2 linked regions of the Oryzias latipes genome follow. The protein of the gene in region 2 purifies or fractionates together with the protein of the main gene of each other region. This does not show direct contact. Links are inferred from orthologs where the notes say so. Each region holds a gene or a part of one and is shown on either strand. Other genes may lie near its edges.

Region 1 (10,688 bases), on a different chromosome or scaffold from region 2:
TTCTCTTTCCAACTTACGGGTTTCTTGTTTAAGAGAACGAGTTTCAGCGTTAAACCACGGTGCTACTCGGTTTTGTCTGACGAACTTAGGTTTCAAGGGGGCAACAACATGGAGTGCACTCCTGAGGGCTTGTAAGGCATCATTAACAAAGTGGTCATTTATACTAGGACTGATACTATGGGAGCTGGACTCAGAGTATTTTCTCAGAATATCACTAAGTACTGGCTGAACTGTGTGTTTAAACTCAGACACAGAACGGTCAGTTAAGGTTCTTCTAAGCTGTTTCTTATTCACTGGGACAGAAGGATGTTCCAGTGTAAACTGGAAGGTAATCATAAAGTGATCGGAAATGATGGGGTTAAGACAGGGGTGGGCAATTCCAGGCCTCGAGGGCCGGTGTGTCTGCATGATTTCCAGATACTCTTCCCCTACTCATGGCTGACTACCTGGTTCAGGTGTGTCCAGCCAATCAGAACATGCCAGAGCAGGGTATGCTGGAAAACATGCAGGACTGCGGCCCTCAGTGCCCACCTCTGGGTTAAGAGGAAGGACACTCAGCTGGCTGATCTCTATACCATGGGTTAGAACAAGATCCAGGGTGTGCTTATGACAGTGAGTGGGTTCATTCACACTTTGGGTGAAACCAACATCATCTAATAAAGCTGCAAAAGCCTTTCCTAGACAGTCACTGGGGTCATCAACATGAATATTAAAATCCCCTAATATTATAGTTTGATCAGAATCTAAGACAATAGTCGATAGGAAGTCGGAAAACTCAGTTAAAAATTCTGAATATGGGACGGGGGGGCGATAAATAATTATGAGTAAAACAGGTTTTGGAGTTTTCCTGTTTGGGTGACTTAAAGACAATATGATGCTTTCAAATGAATTATAAGCATTTTTAACTTTAGGGCTGAGAAGTAAGCTAGACTGTGATATTACTGCCAAACCCCCTCCTTTACCTGAAATCCTGGATTTCTGATAGTTAGCATAAGTGGGGGGGGTTGCTTCATTCAATCTAACATAGTCATCCTGATGGAGCCAAGTTTCTGTTAAGGCTAAAAGACTGAGGTTGTTATCAATGATTAACTCGTTGACTAAGAGGGACTTGGAGGAAATGGATGGAATGTTTAATAAACCGCAATTAATTACATCTTAATTCTGCTTGTGAGAACTGCTGTCTGTCACTTTGAGGTTTCTATGATGCGCTCCTTTCTTTTGTCTTTCAGCACATAAGCTAAAGCTAGGACCTGCTTGACTTTCCCTGCATGGGTTTTGCACCGGCACTAACCCTAAGGGAGGCTCAGAGGAGCGTTTTCCCCTGCTGCTCTGCGCCCGGGTCTCGTCTCTGGATTGTCAGGTTAACAGACTAAGGCTAGCAGAAATGTTTCTAGAAAGAAGAGCGGCACCGTCCCGGGTGGGATGGACGCCGTCTCTCCGCATGAGACCGGGCTTCCCCCAAAACGCGCTCCAGTTATCCACAAAACCAACGCCGTTTTCTGGGCACCATCTAGAAAGCCAGCGGTTAAATGATGAAAAGCGGCTGTACATTTCATCACTGACTAAGTTCGGCAGGGGACCAGAGAAAATTACAGTGTCGGACATCGTCTTAGCCAGTTTACACACCGAAGCTACGTTTAACTTAACCACCTCTGATTGTCTCCGTCGGGCATCATTACCGCCTGCGTGAATCACGACTCGACGGAACCTGGACTTACTCTGAGCTAACATCCTACGGTTCCCCTCGATGTCACCAACTCTGGCCCCCGGATAACACCTGACTGTAGCCGCTGGGAGCTCCACGTTTCTAACTTCAGAAGAGCCGAAAACCAGAGTTGGGGGTTCAGCGGGTGTGTCACTGAGGGGGGAGAACCTATTACTAATGTGGAGTCTCGGGTGTTGTAAGTTTTAGCGTTTAGCACTATGTTTCCTCCCAACCGGTGCAAACCCCTGTGTGTCTCCCGGCTGCTGGGAAAGCGCTGGGGTGCTAACTAAGTTAGCCCTGGCTAGATGTAAGATCTTAAGCCCGAGTCATAAAGGTCGGGTCGGGCACTAAATGACAATCATTACGTTTGGGTCGGTTCGGGCCGGGCTTCTCTCACGCTGACTTTTTAATAAATATATTGTAATGGCTGCAAAGAAGCTCCTTAGGCGGGCGGTTGTCAAACAGCTCTTTATTAATCCTGTATGTCAGAACGGTCACTGCACGAACCGAAAGGCACAGCCAGCTTCTTCTTACTCAGAGGGAGAACGTTCACCGAACACGCACACACACACACACACACACACACACACACACACAGGTAGACCCCGCCCCCCAGTCACCAGCCCACCGTTGATTGACATACACTGTGGTCCAGCAACTGGCAGAAAAAGGGGGAGCTGGCCACCCGCAGCTCTGCGCACGTGTCGTAGAACTGCACGATATGAGGAAAACTCGCGATATGCGATATTAGAGATTAATATTGCGATAATGGTATAATTTGCGGTATATAAACAAATAACAAAATAACCAAAAACATCATTACCATTTCATTGTAACAGTTTAAAAATTATACTCTAAATGACCTTTGTCGACATAGGAGACAAACATCTAACATAATAGGCCTCCATCTGATTGGTCAACAACGTGAAGGGCTCCATCTGATTGGTCAAATGCATAAAGGGATTTATTTCATTTGTTAAATGCTTCAAGCTGCCATAAGGTTGTATTAACACATTTAAGGTGTACGATTTATTGCGATTTTCGCTACTTTTTGCGATATGCATATTGCAGAGCTGGATATTGCGATAACGATACATTTGGGGTATATTGTGCAGGCCTAACGTGTCGTGAATGTAATCTTCCCTCCGCAAGCCCGTATCTATTTTGTTTATTTTGTTTATTTCTCCGCGTAATGAAGCGAGTGCGCATCAAGATGTCTCTTTCACTCTCTTTGTCTGGCCTCTTATTCTGTCTTCCAGCGTTATTTCGTTGTGCAAATGCATTTATCATGTAGGGAGGATCCTATGCGCAGCGCTTCCGGCGGAACTCTATGCCACAACAGCGAGCTTGACTACGCACGCGGCTGCAGTGACCACTTTGTTTATGTCGATTTTTTTACCTTTAGGAAATCTGGGTTTTTTTTTCCTGCCAAAAATACTATGGGATAAATTGAAATTTCGGTTTGCTTCGGGCTCGGGCCTGCAAATCAAGTTAATTGGTCGGGTTCGGCCGGGGTTTGCTTTAATGCCCGTGGGCCTGTGTCGGGTCGGGCTGGATTTTTTAGGCCCGTTCTTAACTCTAGCCCTGGCTAGCCGGCTAAGCTTCCACTGTGCGGAGCCGCACTCCTAACTGATCCAGCTTGGCCTCCAAGTCTAACACAAGAATACACTCAACACATGTACCACAATCTACACTAAAGGAGGCAGGCTAGCGGTGTTTAGCTAAAGAGAAGCAGTTTCATTAGCAAACTGAGAAAAAGTGGACAGCAAGCGGTTAACATTAGTGTATTCGCTGCTAAACGGTACTAGATTTTAATATTAAACCAAATAACAATTAAAGTAAGCAATAGTAGTCAGGCTAATGCCAAACAAGAAAGCAACAGTCAAACACGATCAGCACTAGATAACGCTCATCCGGAAATGACGTCACAGGAACAGCTGGCTTTTGTGTTGGCTCTTTTCCTTCTGCCCTGTGCAGCACTGATTCTGATCTAATCACTGATACTGCTTGATTTCTGCCTCCTGATGCCACCCTCTGGGGTATAAGGGTATTACGTTACTCTGTCACTCACGTTATTACAGCTCCGACATTTACCAATGGCCTGATATTTACAAATGGTTAAGTTGTTAAAGACTAAATAAGAAAAATACAACTACAAGTGAAAAGAAATATACTTTCCCACAGTACACTGATGATGTAGTAGTGAACATGTTCTGTGGTTGAAATGACTGTTAGAAGACTTTTCTGAGAAGTACTAGATAAGTACTAGAGGAGTACTAGATAAGTCATCTGACAGTCATAACACAAGTACTAGATTGGACATTTGCATTTACCACACAACGACCTACCGATCATTGGCCTTATGTCCCACCTGTAAAAACGTCTGCACACAAATAACAGGTTGGATAAAAAGTCAGTTATTCTAAAGAACAGAAAAGTGTCAAATGTCTACGAAAACATCTGAAAGCTTAACTGCTCTGAGTAGATTTTGGATCAGAATCTCTGTTTTTATGTTGTACAAAGTGGATGCAGAAAATATACACCCGGTGTCAGAAGATTCCTGACCCCCTATTGTTTTAGCACCATCTGTCCATCACTAGAGGCCTTCAGCTCTGATCTGTTTGCTGAACACGTTAAAAAAACATTCAGAGCTGTCAGTTATCTGCTACGCTGCTCAAAGATCTGCTTTAAAATGAAATGATGGCCACACAGGGACAAACAGGAGCTGTTCAAGGATGAGATTCAAGCTCTGAGCTATCAAAGGTCTGCAGGTGCGACTGACTCCTACCTCTTCTTTGCTGCTTGCAGTGAGTCGGCGTGTCGCCTCTACAGCCACCAGATGAAGGGGAAGCACCTGGCCATCAAGAAGATGAACGAGATTCAGAAGAACATCGATGGCTGGGAGGGGAAGGACATCGGACAGAGCTGCAACGAGTTCATTATGGAGGGCACGCTGACGCGGGTGGGCGCAAAACACGAGCGCCACATTTTTTTGTTCGATGGCCTCATGGTCTGCTGCAAGTCCAACCACGGCCCACCGCGGCTGCCTGGCACCAGCTCGGCCGCAGAGTACCGTCTCAAAGAAAAGTTCTTCATGCGGAAAATCCAAATCAACGACAAGGACGACAAGGAGGGAGAGTACAGGCATGCCTTCGAGATTATCCTGAAAGACGGGAACAGCGTGGTGTTTGCAGCCAAGTCCGCAGAAGAAAAGAACAGCTGGATGGCAGCGCTGGTCTCGCTGCAGTACCGCAGCACCCTGGAGCGCATGCTGGACACGGCCATGATGCAGGAGGAGAAGCAGGAGCAAATGAGGCTGCCGGGAGCCGAGGAGTACCGCTTTGCTGAGCCAGACTCCGAGGAAAACGTGGTGTTTGAGGAAAATGTCCAGTCAAGGTCTGGAATTCCCATCATCAAGGCGGGAACGGTCCTGAAATTGATCGAAAGGCTGACTTTCCACATGTACGCAGGTGAGCTGTGAAGTCATGCAGATCACACAGGTGAGACGAGGTCTGACAGGTCAGACCGGAGTCAGGCAGATATGGCGTGAGGTGATATAAGTGTTCAGGTAGAGTTGTGAAGTCAGGCAGGTGAAACCTGGGGAATCTAACCCCAACCCTTTATTAGGGCTCAGCTCACAGGTTTCCTGTTTTTTCAGATCCAAACTTTGTACGGACCTTTCTGACCACTTACAGATCGTTCTGTAAGCCTCAAGAGCTTCTAGACCTGCTCATTGAAAGGTGAGCTCACCTGTCAAGTCATTGGAACTGGGCAGCACACCTGTACTCTTGTTTTTGCATTATTCAGAGTGAAAACTGAAATGAGTCTGTTCACAGCTAAAACCTCAACAGAACCTGTACAAGAAACCTGGCTGAGGTTCTGGTCTGTTTCAGGTTTGAGATCCCAGAGCCAAGGCCGGCTGAGGCAGATCCGACAGAAGGAGGGGATCAGCTGCTCAGCGCCGAACTCAAACGCTTCCGGAAAGAGTTTGTTCAGCCGGTCCAACTCAGGTACACTGAGACAGAATCGAAGGACCCGTCTGTGGGATACGGGATAGACGTACCAGACTCACTGGATCCAGACGTTGTTCAGACAACCGGTCATGGAAACCAGCAGTCTAAGTAGGAAGGTGAACTGTGGTCTGCAATGAAGGACAGATGACCCACCAGCTAGGTGTTTGCTGCTGTGGGAGGAGCTGGCCAGGACCTTCAACAACGAGCAGGGGGCGGAGTTTAGTGATTTAATAGAAACTTTCTATTCAGAGCCTGCAGTAATAAGCAGGTAGACCGGGTCAACAGTTCATATTTAGTCAAAAGGTTCCCGAGCGGGACTTGGAAGGACTTTTTAAATGTCTGTCAAAAGCGGCCTCATTGGGTCGCTGCCATGGAGCAAAAGCCACCTTGACATCCGTCTTCTGCCCTCATCCAACCAGCCGACCTCCAGCTGAACCTGGAGGATGGGTCTTCTGCACACATCTCCTCTTCTTCTGCTGCTTCAGAACATTTTAAAGAAATCCTACAGACTTGTGTTTGATGTGTGACTCCTCCCCCTGCAGAGTGCTGAATGTTTGTCGACACTGGGTGGAGCATCACTTCTACGACTTTGAGAGAGACATTCATCTGCTGGGTCAGTTGGAGGACTTTATAGCTTCTGTTAGAGGTGAGCACCTGCTTCAATCACCTGCTTGAGCTGTCAGGTTGAGGTCCAGTCCAGACCGCAGAGGTCCGGCTGATGTTTGTGGCTCACAGCAGATGGGCTGAAGGTCTCAGTTGAGTCTAAAGTCTCGGAGGCTCAGGTAGGTTAACCGCGTCATGTGTTACAGGTAAAGCAATGAGAAAGTGGGTGGAATCCATCACAAAGATCATTCAGAGGAAGAAGCAGGTTCAGGTTAGCCTGCCGAGCCATAGCATCACCTTCCAGAACTCTCCTCCTCCTATTGAATGGCACATCTGTAAGCCGGGAAACTCAGAGCACTTTGACCTCATGACTCTGCATCCCATCGAGATCGCTCGCCAACTTACACTGTTGGAGTCTGACTTCTACAGGTAAGGCCAGGCCCACACACATCCACAGCTGATCGGGCGGCGTCCGACACAACTCTGATCCCCCGCGCAGGGCTGTGCAGCCTTCAGAGCTGGTCGGCAGTGTGTGGACCAAGGAGGACAAAGAGATTCACTCTCCCAACCTGCTGAGGATGATCCGTCACACCACAAACCTCACCCTGTGGCTGGAAAAGTAAGATGTCCAAGCGGCCGCCACGAGCTGTGACCTGTTTGCTTTGTTGCGCTGAGGCCGTTGCTCTCCACAGATGTATCGTGGAGGCAGAGAATCTGGAGGAGCGGGTCGCTGTCGTCTCTCGGATCATCGAGATCCTGCAGGTTTTTCAGGAGCTCAACAACTTCAATGGTGTTCTGGAAGTCGTCAGTGCCATGAACTCCTCCCCTGTGTACAGACTGGACCACACCTTTGAGGTAGGCAAGCGTAGAAAAGGCTCCTCTGCATCAGGACCGGTCTTTGGTTCTGGTTGGTAAGAGTAACAAGTTTAGATAAAGCAGAAGCCATTGCTTTTTATTGCAGTTGAAAGTTGAGGAGTTTTTAGTGCCTTTAGGCAAGGTCCCTGAGCCTCTGTGATGGGTTAGGGGTACAATACAACCCTCGTTTTCATGTACAACTTAAAACACCAGATAAATGCAGGTCAAGCTGTGTCACGCTGTCAACACGGATGTCTATTATGATAGTTAGGGTGGTGTTTAGACCATCGGCTCACAATAGGGTGGTGTTGTTCTCTCTGGGCGTCTCACACCTTTCTGCAGGTTCTCCAACAGTCCAAACATTACTCATTTACACATTTACACATTTTGCTCTTTCCAAACGGTCTCTTAGAACCAACCTGTGGTCACAGTTGAACAACCACACACCTGTCACCTGACTTAGCGCTTTGCAAGCCGGGTGGACTCCTGCAACCAGAACCAAGCAGGTGTAGATTAAGGAAGACAAACTCTCTTTTAAAAGGAAAAATTCTGCAAAATGATTTGTAGTCATCAAATACATGATTTAAAAATATATATTTGTCATCTTTCAGTTGCTCCTTTTAGGTTTTACCACAGCGAATCATCTTCTTCCATGGAACCTTCTCCTCATGTCTTTCATCCACGAACCTCTGCTTTCCTGGTAGCTCCAACCTCAGCATCCTTTCACCACCATCATCACTGTTTCTCCATCTGCTTCCCTGCATTGATCTCCAGAACATCCATGATGTGTTCCTCTGATGGATTCATTTCTGATCCATCCCATGTGTTCCTCTGTAGTTTCCTTAACTCTGAACATCTTCCTTCTTCTCCTCCATTCCTGATCCTCTCACTCTCAAAGATCTTCCTAAACCCTCAGAAACTCTTCTGTCACCTCTCCTAAAGTCTTGATAGGTGATGACAGGTTGATGGGTTACATTTTATTTGTCACCTAAAGGCAAATGACAAAAACAGTTAGTCTACTGGTTCACATGAACCCTGTAGCTGTTTTTTTCCTACTAGGCTATCTTACTGAATGCTCCAAAGGTTCTTTTGTTCTCCTTGCGCATTGGACCTTCCTCATTTTGGTGGGCTGGTCTTGTACTTTCATCCAGCTCAGTTGGGAGAACTTCCTCTCCCCAGGAGACACCACGGTGCTGAAGCTCAAGTGTTGTAGAAAAAATTCTGAACTGATGGTGCTTTTGTTTACAGCAAATTCCCAGTCGTCAGAGGAGGATCCTGGAGGAAGCCCACGAGCTGAGTGAGGACCACTACAAGAAGTACCTGATGAAACTGCGCTCAATTAACCCTCCCTGCGTCCCCTTCTTTGGTACAGCCTGACTGGTCTGTGGACCTCTTGAAGCCAGACGGCAGCTTACGCTGGGACATGTCTGTGTCACAGGTATCTACCTAACAAACATCCTGAAAACAGAAGAAGGAAACCCCGACTTCCTGCGCAGACATGGAAAAGACCTGATCAATTTCAGCAAGAGGCGGAAGGTGGCCGAGATCACAGGAGAGATCCAACAGTACCAGAACCAGCCATACTGCCTGAGGGTGGAGAGCGAAATCAGGGTCAGTGTGTGCATGTGTTACTTCCTACCTGTGGAAACCACCTTTTCTAAGCTGATTGTCTGTTTTGTTTGTGGTGCAGAAATTCTTGGAGAACCTGAACCCGATGGGGGACCTGTCAGAGAAGGACTTTGCTGATTATCTGTTCAATAAGTCTTTAGAGATTGAACCTCGAAACACTCGATCCCTGCCCCGATTTGTAAGTGTAACCATGGTAACGTGATCTGGAGAAGGATTCGGCTGAATCTGAACCTATCTCAATCCTGGTCTAGGCCAAGAGATACACCTGTCCTCTGAAGAGTCCAGGGATCCGCCCAACCTCAACAAGGCCCGGCACCATGAGACACCCAACACCTTTGCAGAATGAGCCCAGGAAGATTAGCTATAGCCGCATACCTGATAGTGAAGCGGAGGGTGGGGCAGTCTCTGCGCCAAACTCCCCCCGGACCCCCTTGACTCCGCCTCCAGCATCAGCTGCTTCCAGCTCCACAGATGTGGGCAGCGTCTTTGACTCGCCGCAAGGGCCCAGCAGCCCCTTCCATTCCAGTAAGACACGCCCACCAACATCCTATTGAGACTTCTCGCCAAAAATAAACTAACCACTCAATCAGCGAGGCTGACCTTCCCACGTCACAGCGCCCAACTCCACCCATAATCCCTGCTTACATGGTCAGGTCACATGACCACATTTTAAATCAAAATTCTAACATTGGTGGGGGGGTTTATGGTTAGGTCACTGGTGAGTTTATTTGATAGAATTAGCAATTTGACGTGCTAACTCCTCCCACAAAGTCTCTAAAGCCTTTGCTAATGTTAGCTCCCGCCCACTGGGCGCTTGAGGACATCAGAGTTTACCTGTAACACCTGCAGTTTGACTGGCACAGACATGAGCCTTGAGTCTGACTCCTCCTCCTCACCTGTCTTTCCTTTTCACTTCTCAGCCTGCGACAGCATCTTCGCTGTCATCTCTCTGCCTCGTGGCCCACGTTAGTATGACCCACTTGACTGTCATCCTTCCACCTGTCAGAGCGCCTCAGGTGTGCTCAGCAGCTGGGCAAGCTTTTAGGAGGCTCGCTGATGCACACCTCATGTTAGCAGACAGGTGCATGTCTCAGGTGTGCGTCATCTGTAGTACCTGTCCATCTCCATGGAAACCATCGTCCTGTCAGTGTGTCGGACCACAAACAGCTGATCTGTCAGCTTGCCTCTCCAGCTGTGGTTGAAGACGTTCATTCATATTTCCACTGCTGACATTTTATCCCCCCTGCAATGCATTCTGGGTTGTTTTGGGGTTGTAAAAGATAAACACTTAATGTTAGCAGCTCTTCACAGCTTTGAACGGATCTTCATTAGAACCAGAACCACAGTAGGGTCCACTAATCCTTAGGGGTTAAAATAGATGTTGTGACTGAAGGAAACTGGAATGAGACCTGGACACGAAAGGTTCTACGGGTCAGAACCTTCCAGAAAAGTTCTGGGACTTCAGACCAACAAGATTTTCTGCAGGTTAAACTTGGTGTTCAACCAGCTGGCTCCCAGAATGCATTGCTTCCAGTATTGTGAGGTGCATGTGGCATCACCCCCCCCAGAGCCCCCCCCGTTCTAACAGCAGTTCTGTGTTCCGGCTCGTCTCAGGGTCCTCTTCCGTGTCCTCCATAGTCAGTTTCAGTCGGGGGTCTGAGGATGCTCCGGTGCCCCCCCCAGTTCCTCCTCGCAGACGACCCGAGTCGGCGCCTTCGGAGTCATCCCCTTCCAAGGTAGGCCCCCCCATGACAATCAGCCATGTCATCCTTAAGAGTTGTGGTCAATGCTCCGCCCCTTTCTGTCCCTCAGGGGGTTTCAAAGTTGGAGAGCCCCCCTGCTGTTCCTCCACGCCAACCCACCTACAAGCTCCTCCCCCCCCG
Region 2 (10,688 bases):
TAAATATCATATTTGAAGTGAAGAATTTCTCCATTTGAATCAAGAGCATCACTGCTACAGAATGATTACAGATCTAAGCTCCAGAATGTTGACTGCTTTGAAGTTTAATTTATGCTGAAAGTTTTTTTATATTTTTATATATGTATACAGGTTTTTGTGAAGAGCTGTATCATTGTGTGGTTGTGTCTGCGATAGTTTTGCAATGATTTTATATCAATAAATATATATATATATATTGCCAAATATAGACCACAATGCATTGCATCGGAACAATTTTTGCCAAAAAAATGTATTTACATTTTTTTTTTTAAATGAACCATCAATGTTTTTATTTCCAGAAGACAGTGGAATTATAAATAATCCTCACAAATTAATGTTCATATTAATTACAATTTAACTTTGTGGAATCGATGACGTCACATCAGCAGTTTTAAAAACAAACTAGTGAGCGTCGAGTCTGAACTGCTTCAATTAAAGTTCAGGGCTCTACATAGTTTTTTAGTCTTAGGGGAATTCAGACACAGAATCTGATTCTACATTTTTTGTCACATTGATGCCCGTTAGTTTTTAGGTTTTAAAGATGTCCAGCTGTAGTTGTTTTAAAGCGCTTTTGGTGTCCATGCGTCATACATGTCCCTCACTTACTCTCCTTCTTTGTGTTTTGCTCAGATCTTTTTTTGACACTTTATGAATCTAAATCTGATTTCAACCATGAGGCCGTTTCAGATGCAGATCCTCAAAGACGCCGTCATCATCCTGAAAGCTGCAGGCGTGGCGTCTCCTGGTCTGTAGTGTGTGTGTGTGCATTTGTTGTGTGTGTGTTAAACCTCACTTGTTCTGTTTGAACCACAGAGGAGGACGGACGGCGGCGTGGTGAGCCATGATCCTTTATTTTTACAGATGTTAACAGGGTGAACTGCATTGAAAGTCATATAATACACCTCTGAAGCTGTGAGAGCGCCCCCCCTCCCCCCCCCCGTGGCATGGGGGGGGCGCCGCATGATAAATTGGCATATAGATATGTTTTAGTACATTCTCCCGCCCTGCTGAACGTTAAAAAATAGAGACGGCGCCGTGATCCCGGTTCAGGGTTTGTGTTCACATTAAGGAGTGCCGCCGCTCCACACAGGCAGGCGTGTGCACCGAAGGCACGTCTAGACCGCGTTCATGATGGTTAAGGGGCGTGGCACAGAGCACGGCGGGACTGGGGGGGTGAAGCGGCCGCCGACAGGAAGCAGGCCATGAAAACAGAACCTGGATGAGAGCTGCAGCACCACCAGACGGCAAGCCGGACACAGACGGCGAGCCGGACACAGACGGCGAGCCGGACACAGACGGCGAGCCGGACACAGACTGAGGCCACGTAAGGTGGTGGGGGCTGGAGGTCAAGGAGTAGCTGGAGATTTAAAAAAAACAAAAACACTTTGATTTCAAGCTAAATGTCAAAGAAAAACCCCAAGTTTGAGTTCAAAAGCGCTCCACAGAGTTCTGGATCTCATAAATTCTGGATCCACAGAGTTCTGGATCCATTGATGCTGCCGTTTGGCTCCAGACTGAAATGGCAGAAACAGGATCGTAACTTTGGGCTAAAACAAAAAGAACCTCTGCTTCTTTTCCGGGTCGGCGTCGGCCCGTCTTCACGCTCATCTCCAGTTTAGTTCCGAAGTTCTGCACCGGTTTCCTTTAGTGTCATTTCTTCGTCAGGCTCCGTGTGATGACAGGTCGATCCGACAGCAGCAGACGGATGAGTTTGTGGAAAACCACCTGATCCAGGTGAGCTCCAGCAGCAGCCAATACCAGCACATGGCGTTCAGAGGGGGCGGGGCTAGCAAGGGTTTCCTGGTGGGGTGGGGGGACTGTGCACTTAAAAAAATCTGTGTCTAAAGACAAAACACAACAGCCCCCTCCCGCAGTAATGCTAAGTGAAGTGGGGGTACACCCCGCTTTAAGGCGGTTCTGAACCGAAGGCGCAGCTTTAAGGGCTCTGAGAACGGGTCGGGTTTCTGTCAAGAACCGGATTTGAGCAGAAACTGGATCTCGTCTCCAGGCTGAAGGCTGAGCTCAGAGACAGGGGGGGGGGGGTTAGTTTGGCACGGGACCTTCTCCATACTCAGTTAATGCAGGAAAAAATAAGCAAGGGGGGGTGGGGGGTTAGTGAGGTTAGTTGCCGGCCGGCGGCCCCCACCGGCGGTGATTCCAAAAACCAAACCCCGGCTGCTTTCAGGTTTGGGTTCGTTAAGGATTCTCAGATGATCACAGTGGTTTCCAATTCAACTGGGGGGGGGGGGGGGGGGGTGGGGAATGAGCGAGAGCAGGATGACGACCCCCCCCAGTCCTCCTCAAGTCCAGCCTCCCCCGTGGTTGGGTCCCCCCCGTCGTTCCACGTCGTCACTGTCAAGGTGTGGTTGGCGAACAGTATGGAGATCCTGGGGGGGGAAACCAGGCGGGGTTAGAGCAGAGAAACCGGAGCTCCGCCCACTCCGCCCTCCTTCCACCACAGGAAGTGACTCTTCCTGCACGAACATTTCTCCTGTTTTCAACATTTCCACCTTAAATAATGGCAGACGTCCCTGCAGAGGGTTTCTGTCTCCTGCTAATCAACGGTTGCCAGGCAACCGGCTCTTCATCTGTCCTCTTCAGAGACATTCATCATCCTCCTGCTAGGTATAGAAATGATGCAGGTTTGGAGGAGAAGTTAGCAGATTTGCAACGTTTTTCACTTCAAATCATCCTGTTTTCTAGAATGTCAGGAATGCTGCCATGTGCTGCAAAAACAGCACAGAAAACGTGACAAAGAACCTTTTTTTGTTTTTGGGGACATTTTTACTCCAAAAGACTCAGATTTGTTCAACTTTATTCGGTTTTTTATTTTTAATTTCTGTTTCAACAGACCTGGGATCCTTTTTTTAAATATCCAGCTTTATCATATTTAAAATGCTTCGTTTGAAACAACAAAGCTCAATTGTTCATAATGAACAAAAAGATCGCTTTATGGATTCAAACCTTTGGCTTTGTGCCGTTAGCGCCTGAAAGGCTGAGCGGGAGCCAACGGAGATTCACACCTTTCCTGTTTTACTTTGAAGTTCTTGTTCTGTTGAACTCCTTTTCATTTGTATAAATGTGAGAGCTCTAGAATCATTTCAGGAGTTCAGGAATACTAATGTCATTTTTAAACTGTTTTTCTCTAAGAATCTCGAAAACCCTGGCAGTAACTGAATCCTCCAGGTGGGTACAGAAATGGAGCCGATGGAGCTCGTCTCCACGCTCCTGGCCTCCCACAGAGCCAGCCTGCTCCAGCCTGTGGGAGGGGCGTTCACCTGGATGAGGGGGGGCCCCGGGGTCGCGGGCGGCTCTCATCTGAAGCTCTTCTGCTGCTGCATCAGGCCCACGTTCTCGTAGACTCTGGAGCTGTCGTCCCTCATCCTGACAAACCCAAACACACGTGAGCGGCGAGGAGACGCCCAAGACGCGGGAGTTCGTGCCGACGCCACTCACTCTGTGCAGGTGGGGGTGGGGAGGGGGGTGCAGGGGGTCAGGGGGCCCTGCTCTCCAGCGGTCAGGTCGGACAGCGAGTACTTGATGTTGGTGTACTCCCGTCCTTTGATCTTGCTTTTCTGCAGAGAGGAGGAGGAGGAGGGGGGTCGGCGTCCGGGACGGAACGGCGAAGGAACGGCGACAGCCCGACGCTCACCTGCTCCTCCTCGATGCGCCGCTGCAGCGTCTCGATGTAGTGCTTGACCGCCATGTAGATGAAGCGGTACTGCGCCTCCGTCTGCACCATCCCCGAGCGCTTGGAGCGGACCATCTGGATGGTCTTCGGCACGTCCATGTCGCAGTCCACGCCTGCAGGGGCAAAGGTCAAAAAGGCCTCAGAGATGCTCAAGGCTTCAACACCCAGAGCTCCACATGTGTCCGTCAATACCGTCTCTTTAGCAGAAACACGACAGTTCAGAGAAAAGGTTTAAAAAGATTTTTTTTCTCTTGATAAAAATCCATTTCAGAAACTACATTTACTCTCTGAAAAGTATATTTTCTAAATTCTCTCAACTTACAGAATCTGTTACTAAATACTTTTTTGCCTCACTATAAAAAAATAGTGAAATCAAATGTTAAAGTCTAAGTTCAAGACAAAAAAAATTAACTACATTTACAGTAAAGTCACAGTTAAACCAAAGTCAAGAAGATTAAAAGTAAATATAAAAGTTACAATTTCATCAAAATAAAGTCACCGTAAATTTAAACCAATTTGAATAAGTACCAGTAAAGTAGAAATAAATACAAATAAAAAGAGGGGAAAACTAAAGTAAAGTAATCTTTAAGTTCAGTCAAAGCTAACAAAGTTACATGAAGGTAAATGTAAAGATGACAAAGTATAGTTACATGAAAAAAAAGTAAATGTAAAGGAAAAGTAAAGAAGTAAGTTAAATAAAGTTAAATTATAGTAAAACAAAGTAAAAGTATAGTAATACTTCTGTTAAAGTAAAGCAAAGGTTAATATAAAGTAAAAGCAGAGTAAAACTTGATCCAATAAAAGCCGAATCCCACTTAAAGTAGAGTAGAGTAGAGCAGAGTAGAGCAGACCAGACCAGAGCAGAGCAGAGTAGAGTAGAGCAGAGTACAGTAGAGTAAAGTAGAGTAAAATAGAGTACAGTACAGTACAGTACAGTAAAGTAGAGCAGAGCAGAGCAGAGTAGAGTAGAGTAGAGTAGAGCAGAGTAGAGTAGAGTAGAGCAGAGTAGAGTACAGTACAGTAGAGTAAAGTAGAGCAGAGCAGAGTAGAATAGAGCAGAGCAGAGTAGAGCAGAGTAGAGTAGAGCAGAGTAGAGTAGAGTAGAGCAGAGTAGAGTAGAGTAGAGTAAAATAGAGTACAGTACAGTAGAGTAAAGTAGAGCAGAGCAGAGTAGAATAGAGCAGAGCAGAGTAGAGCAGAGTAGAGCAGAGTAGAGTAAAGTAGAGTAAAATAGAGTAAAATAGAGTAAATTACAGTACAGTAAAGTAGAGCAGAGTAGAGTAGAGTAGAGTAAAATAGAGTACAGTACAGTACAGTAAAGTAGAGCAGAGCAGAGTAGAGTAGAGTAGAACAGAGTAGAGCAGAGTAGAGTAAAGTAAAATAGAGTACAGTACAGTAGAGTAAAGTGGAGCAGAGCAGAGTAGAGTAGAGTAAAATAGAGTACAGTACAGTAGAGTAAAGTAAAGTAGAGCAGAGCAGAGTAGAGTAGAGTAAAATAGAGTACAGCACAGTAGAGTAAAGTAGAGCAGAGCAGAGCAGAGTAGAGTACAGTAAAATAGAGTACAGTACAGTACAGTAGAGTAAAGTAGAGCAGAGCAGAGTAGAGTAAAATAGAGTACAGTACAGTAAAGTAGAGCAGAGCAGAGTAGAGTAGAGTAAAATAGAGTACAGTACAGTAGAGTAAAGTAGAGCAAAGCAGAGCAGAGTAGAGTAAAATAGAGTACAGTACAGTAGAGTAAAGTAGAGCAGAGTAGAGTAGAGTAGAGTACAGTAGAGCAGAGTAGAGTAGAGTAGAGTAGAGTAGAGTAGAGCAGGGCAGAGCAGAGCAGAGCAGAGCAGAGCAGAGTAGAGTAGAGTAGAGCAGAGTCCAGCCTGTGCTGGTTGGTTTTACTGTTTTACTGCAGACGTGCAGAACGTTCTTCAGCCCGGTCCGGGTTCTGGAGGATCTGCAGGACTCACCTTTTTCTCGGATCACGTCTATCAGGATGTCGATGACGATGAAGGTTCCGGTCCGACCGATCCCCGCGCTGAGGACAGAAGCAGAGCGGCTGAGCGGCTGCTGCCGTGCGTCGGCCGTCCGGCGCCGCCGCTGCCGTTACCTGCAGTGGACCACGATGGGCCCGGCGTCCGCGATGCTCTCCTGCTTCAGGTTGACCTCCTCTAGGAAGTCCAGGACTCCGCCCGGGTCGGTGGGGACCCCGTGGTCCGGCCAGGCCCTGAAGTGGTACTGCCACACCGTGCGTTCCGTGTTTCCCTGAAAAAAGCGTCAATCCCGATGAGGGTTTCTGGGAAGACGGTGGCGGCGAATTCCGTCCGAGCCGCTCACCTGCCCCACTTTGGAGAGTTTGAGCTCTCGAAGGATGTAGTCGTGCGCGGACGTCTCCCTCACGTTGCGGACCCGCATGGCGCCGTACTCTTTCAGCGCCGACATGTCGGGCCAGTACTTCACACACTTACTCTGTCAGAGACACACAGTTATTCTCTCTGCTCGCTTCTGAGCGGCGAGGAAGAGAAGCAGAGGGACGTCAGACAAACCCAGATTGAGGCAGATTAGAGAGGAAACAGTCCTGGGGCCTGTTTCAGAAAGGAGGTTCGACCAACTCTGAGGATAAACTTGAACTCTGAGTTGGTCAATCGGGAGATTAACAACTCTGAGTTTTCTGTTTCAGAGAAGCTGATCGGAGTTAGGTCAATCACCTCTGAGTGGACTGATTCAGAGTTAAGCGTGCGCACCGCGACTATAAGAAGCCATTATCAATGGAGCGCAGATATCATGAGTCACCATGGCAACCGTGAAAAAAAGAGGTTTGCGTATTTTTCTCCAGCTGAACTTGACGTGCTGCTGCAGAGTTACAGTGAATATGAGCACATATTCCAGAAGAAAAGCAACACCGCTGCATCTGCAAAACAGAGACAGTTAGCGTGGGAAACATAGCTGCTCAAGTTAATGCCTAAGTTTGCATTTAAATCATTGTTATAAAATATTGGCTGTAATAACTTTCTAAATAGCGTAAGGAGTGAAATAAAAAATGGCGATATTTAGGTTTACTTTTGAAGTGTTATTCCTGGTGTAAATGCATGAAATGCTGCATAGTGTACAGAACCAATCTGGGGGGGGGGGATGCATTTAACGTCGGTAATGTTTAGAGGACTTTTTTGTTAACCTTCCCCTCTTGCAAACGTTGGTCAGTTTAATATTAATACATGCAATTTTTTTTTTTGTGTGTTTTTAAAAGTGAACTTTTGTCTACTGTTGAACCTTTCGCTGCGCGAAGACTTCTATTTTCTTTTCTCTCGTCTTTCCGACCGACCGTGGTCAGAAGCGCAGGGGAGATTTCCTTCAGGGCTGAAGGGAATTCTCCTTCGGGGTTCACTTCCCGTTGGAAACCCTCAACCTCCAGAGCGGATTAAGAATGACTCCAAAACAGTTATTCTGGGAATGACACCTTCTCTTTATTTAACTAAGTGCTCCGTCCTCCGAACACACAATATATACCACGCACACACCTCCGCTCCGCTCCGTGCTCACCCCCCCCCCCCCCCATCTGCACCTGCACTCGCCCCTCCCCTTGTCTCTCGTGGATCGCACCCCGCTCAGCACACACACACTGCAACACTACCCTTGTATTGATCAAGTGGTATAGGTTTATATGGGATTAAGAAAGTAAGCAGTGCTAGCAAATTGTGTTTCCAAAAAGTAATTGTTACATTAATCTAATTCAATGTCCCTGATTTCATTTTCATGTAGATGCAATCCTGCAGGAATTAAAAGAACATGGCAGCAGCTAAAAATGAAAAAAAAATCGAGTCTTCTCAAAATCCTCGTACGAGGTAAATGTAATTCTCTATGAATTAATGCAGCCTCCTCGTCTATTGGGTCCTCCAAAAAAGAACAAGCCATTCTTGTCACTTAGACCGTCTCTGTGTGACGGACATGTGGACAATGAAGGTTAAAGCGAAAAATACCGCTTCGTCTTTAAAAAGGGGAGGGGACCGGCAGAAACCTTGAGTTTAGAGAATAAAACCTGCTCCCGACCAGGTTAGGTTCACAGCATAAGTAACCATGGATACTGACTCCGAGTAAAAGTTACCTCTCTTTCAGAAACGGGTTTGACTTACTCTGCTTTCTCTGGTTTAACAAACCTCCCATTCTGAAACGGAAAACCCAGGGTTTCCCTGATTTCAGGGTTAACGCACTCAGAGTTTACACTTAACCTCCTTTCTGAAACAGGCCCCTGGAGTCAGACATTTGTTTGGATTCAGTCAAACAAACTCAGATTATCTAAAACCCTTCAATGATTAGAAAGAAGTTTAATACAAAAAGGAGTTTTTAGAATGAAAAAAGCATATTTACGGTACAGACCAAAAGTTTGGACACACTGAATGAGAAGCTGTGAATGTACTGTATATGCTCAGTTTTATATAGATATTATACTTATATATATTGATATATTCCACAAAGGAATTCAAAGGGGAAGAAAGGAAAACGGTCAGATCACATTGGTCAAAAAAAGCTGAAAGCCTCCAAAAGATTTTGCTAAAAAGAAGCGATAAATGTATGGAAGACTTGTCGGCGGCCCTCACCTTTCCTCGTTCCACCTCTTTGGTTGTCATGACGATGACCCGCGAGTTCTCCTGAAACACCATCCTCCAGAAGTCACTGATGGTGTTCTGCAGGCAGCCCTGAGTGGCGATGTAGCTCTTCTTCAGCTTGTGGCTGTTGCACTTGGCGTCCAGCTCCGGCTGCAAACCGGCAGAACCAGAAGCTGCACAAACCCGAGCGCAAACGGACCCGCAGAGCCGGACGGCGAGAGGGAGGCTCACCATGATGATGTTGGCGTTGATGTAGTCCGAGCCGGGCTCGTTGGGGTCCCCGTCGTTCAGCACCACCCGCGTGTGGTCGACTGCAAACACAAACGGCAGATGAGAAGAGGGCGGGGTCGAGCGGCCTGGAGTGGCGGCGGCGCCGGGGGCTCTCACAGGGCAGGATGTTCTTGTAGCGGTTCTTGTTCTTGTTCTCCGCCCTCTGTCCCTCTTTGCGGCTGTACAGCAGTTTACACTCCTGCTGCTGCAACGTCTGCATGCAGAGAAAAGAGGAAACTCCAGGTTCAGATCTGCTTCTGGACACAGCTTTAGCGGCGTTTGGCAGAAAACGCCGACACAAACGTGAAGCTGCACGTTCATGTAAACACAAATTCTATTATTCTATTTTATTCATCATAGCCGCTTTTTCAACAACTGTAGTTTATTGAGGACGTTATTCCAAATATCTGTACACGTCTATACACTCAAAAAAATTGGATGAACTCAATTTAATTGTGGGCAGGATTTCCATCCAATAAATATGAGTCGCACCAAATCAAAAAAATTCCTCCATGTAATGAAATATAATCGAGTTAGTCGAACTCAATTTTATCAAGAAGACAAAGCAAAAAACATGGTGTGACACTATTCTGGAAGGTAGAACCTCCACATGCAGACAGACTGATCCACTGAGCCGACTCTCCTGTGGCCTCAGGCATCCAACACTATAAAGACAGAATCATTTTCTACATAAATGAGGTTTGTCGTCTTTGATCTTACTGGGAGAAACCCAGTTGAATCCATTCCAAGCCACAGTACCTTTTTTACGTGGAAAAACACGAACAAAAGTTCAAAGGATTTGAAGGACCAAAAGTCATGGCAGGCATTAGACGAAAGAGCTGAACGTTTTAATAGTTGAATGGTTAAAATAGGTGAAAAATTGTAGCCGTAAAACGGCGGAAGATACTATAAGAAGAATAAATAAAGAGAAAGAGGAAAACAGCATCCAACCAATTAAAGAATAGAATCACAGAAGAAATGATTTTGCAGAAGGTGCAGTCTGCACATGTGCACAGCATGCCCCCTAATTATGAATTTATTTATTCAATACTGGAGTTTATAGGTGAAACTATTAATACATTTTATGTTAGGTCAATTAAATATAGATACATATTTTTAAAATAAATATATTTAAATAAAACAAACGGCATTTACTTGTGTTGTTACATGAAAGAGGGTTTGAATCCCTTTTTTGAGTGTAGTTTTTTCCCAAATACTTTGTTTTTTTTAAAAGTAAATTCAGAAAATGATGAAGTGACATTTCTGCACAGCAATCACTCCTCATGGTTATTGATCTGTTAGAATAACACAAAGACTGCTGCCCCTAAAGCCAAAACTACACTTCTTCTTCTTCAGGTGATTGAAGCTGAACTTCTGGAAAAAAACACAGGAAACCGGCTCCATCTGCTTTCAAAATAAAAGTCTTCTGACATGATGAGGACTTCCCCTCTGGCTCCCCAGACTGCTGACATTGCAGGGACGTTTGGAGCTGTAGGGGTGTCTGAAAGTGTTTCTTTGAGGAGGAGCCGCAGTGACCCACGGCTGGGTATTCCTCTGCCGGTGGGGGGGGTCCGCGTCTCGCTGGCACGCCAGGAAAAAGGCTTTTCTTTAGGCGGGTGTGCTCTGAAGCACAGAGGTTCATGACTAAATGTAAGTATTGGCTTCCATGACAACGTTTTAAAGTTATAAACCACTGTATTATGGCAGCTACACGCCAGCGGGGGAGACCGGCGACCGTTGATGATGTCATGGAGTGGTAGTCATGTCCGGATTTTCCATAACCGTCTTGGAGGGATAAATGTCGGGGTAGGGGATGAATTCAGATTCAGCCTAAACGTTGGAGGAATGTCTTTTGAGTTCCAGTACAAACACTCATCAAGCACATCAGAAAGATCCTTCATGATTCTGACCGTTAAACGTGCTGCTGCCGCCGCTGAGGTTACGGTGGGATTTCAGAGTAAAAGCACGCTCCCTGTGCCTTCAGAGTAAAAGCAGGTTGCTCCTCTTTCTCAGACCACTCACCTCAAACTCCTCCCAGAAGCCCTGCTTCACCTTGTCCGTGGCCTCGGCCAGCTTGCTGAGCTCACGGACGCGG

What was found.
Region 1: the proteins of ptpn11 (region 2) and sos1 purify together in Homo sapiens (affinity purification with western blotting; 4 studies listed by BioGRID and IntAct, with this or other methods). This does not show direct contact. The link is inferred for Oryzias latipes from reciprocal best matches to the Homo sapiens genes PTPN11 and SOS1.

What each region holds. Positions count from the first base shown.
Region 1 is NC_019859.2:92,602-103,289, reverse strand, and holds part of sos1 (son of sevenless homolog 1), read left to right. Parts: intron 1-4,513; coding exon 4,514-5,175; intron 5,176-5,363; coding exon 5,364-5,445; intron 5,446-5,598; coding exon 5,599-5,715; intron 5,716-6,260; coding exon 6,261-6,364; intron 6,365-6,527; coding exon 6,528-6,750; intron 6,751-6,820; coding exon 6,821-6,940; intron 6,941-7,013; coding exon 7,014-7,176; intron 7,177-8,424; coding exon 8,425-8,542; intron 8,543-8,614; coding exon 8,615-8,787; intron 8,788-8,866; coding exon 8,867-8,983; intron 8,984-9,056; coding exon 9,057-9,330; intron 9,331-9,725; coding exon 9,726-9,770; intron 9,771-10,419; coding exon 10,420-10,541; intron 10,542-10,617; coding exon 10,618-10,688.
Region 2 is NC_019870.2:1,404,688-1,415,375, forward strand, and holds the end of ptpn11 (tyrosine-protein phosphatase non-receptor type 11), read right to left. Parts: coding exon 10,616-10,688; intron 8,808-10,615; coding exon 8,711-8,807; intron 8,635-8,710; coding exon 8,555-8,634; intron 8,474-8,554; coding exon 8,315-8,473; intron 6,189-8,314; coding exon 6,057-6,188; intron 5,985-6,056; coding exon 5,830-5,984; intron 5,758-5,829; coding exon 5,690-5,757; intron 3,844-5,689; coding exon 3,692-3,843; intron 3,615-3,691; coding exon 3,496-3,614; intron 3,424-3,495; coding exon 3,354-3,423; 3' UTR 3,318-3,353; intron 2,427-3,317; 3' UTR 872-2,426; downstream 1-871. UniProt on the Homo sapiens protein: Acts downstream of various receptor and cytoplasmic protein tyrosine kinases to participate in the signal transduction from the cell surface to the nucleus. Positively regulates MAPK signal transduction pathway. Dephosphorylates GAB1, ARHGAP35 and EGFR.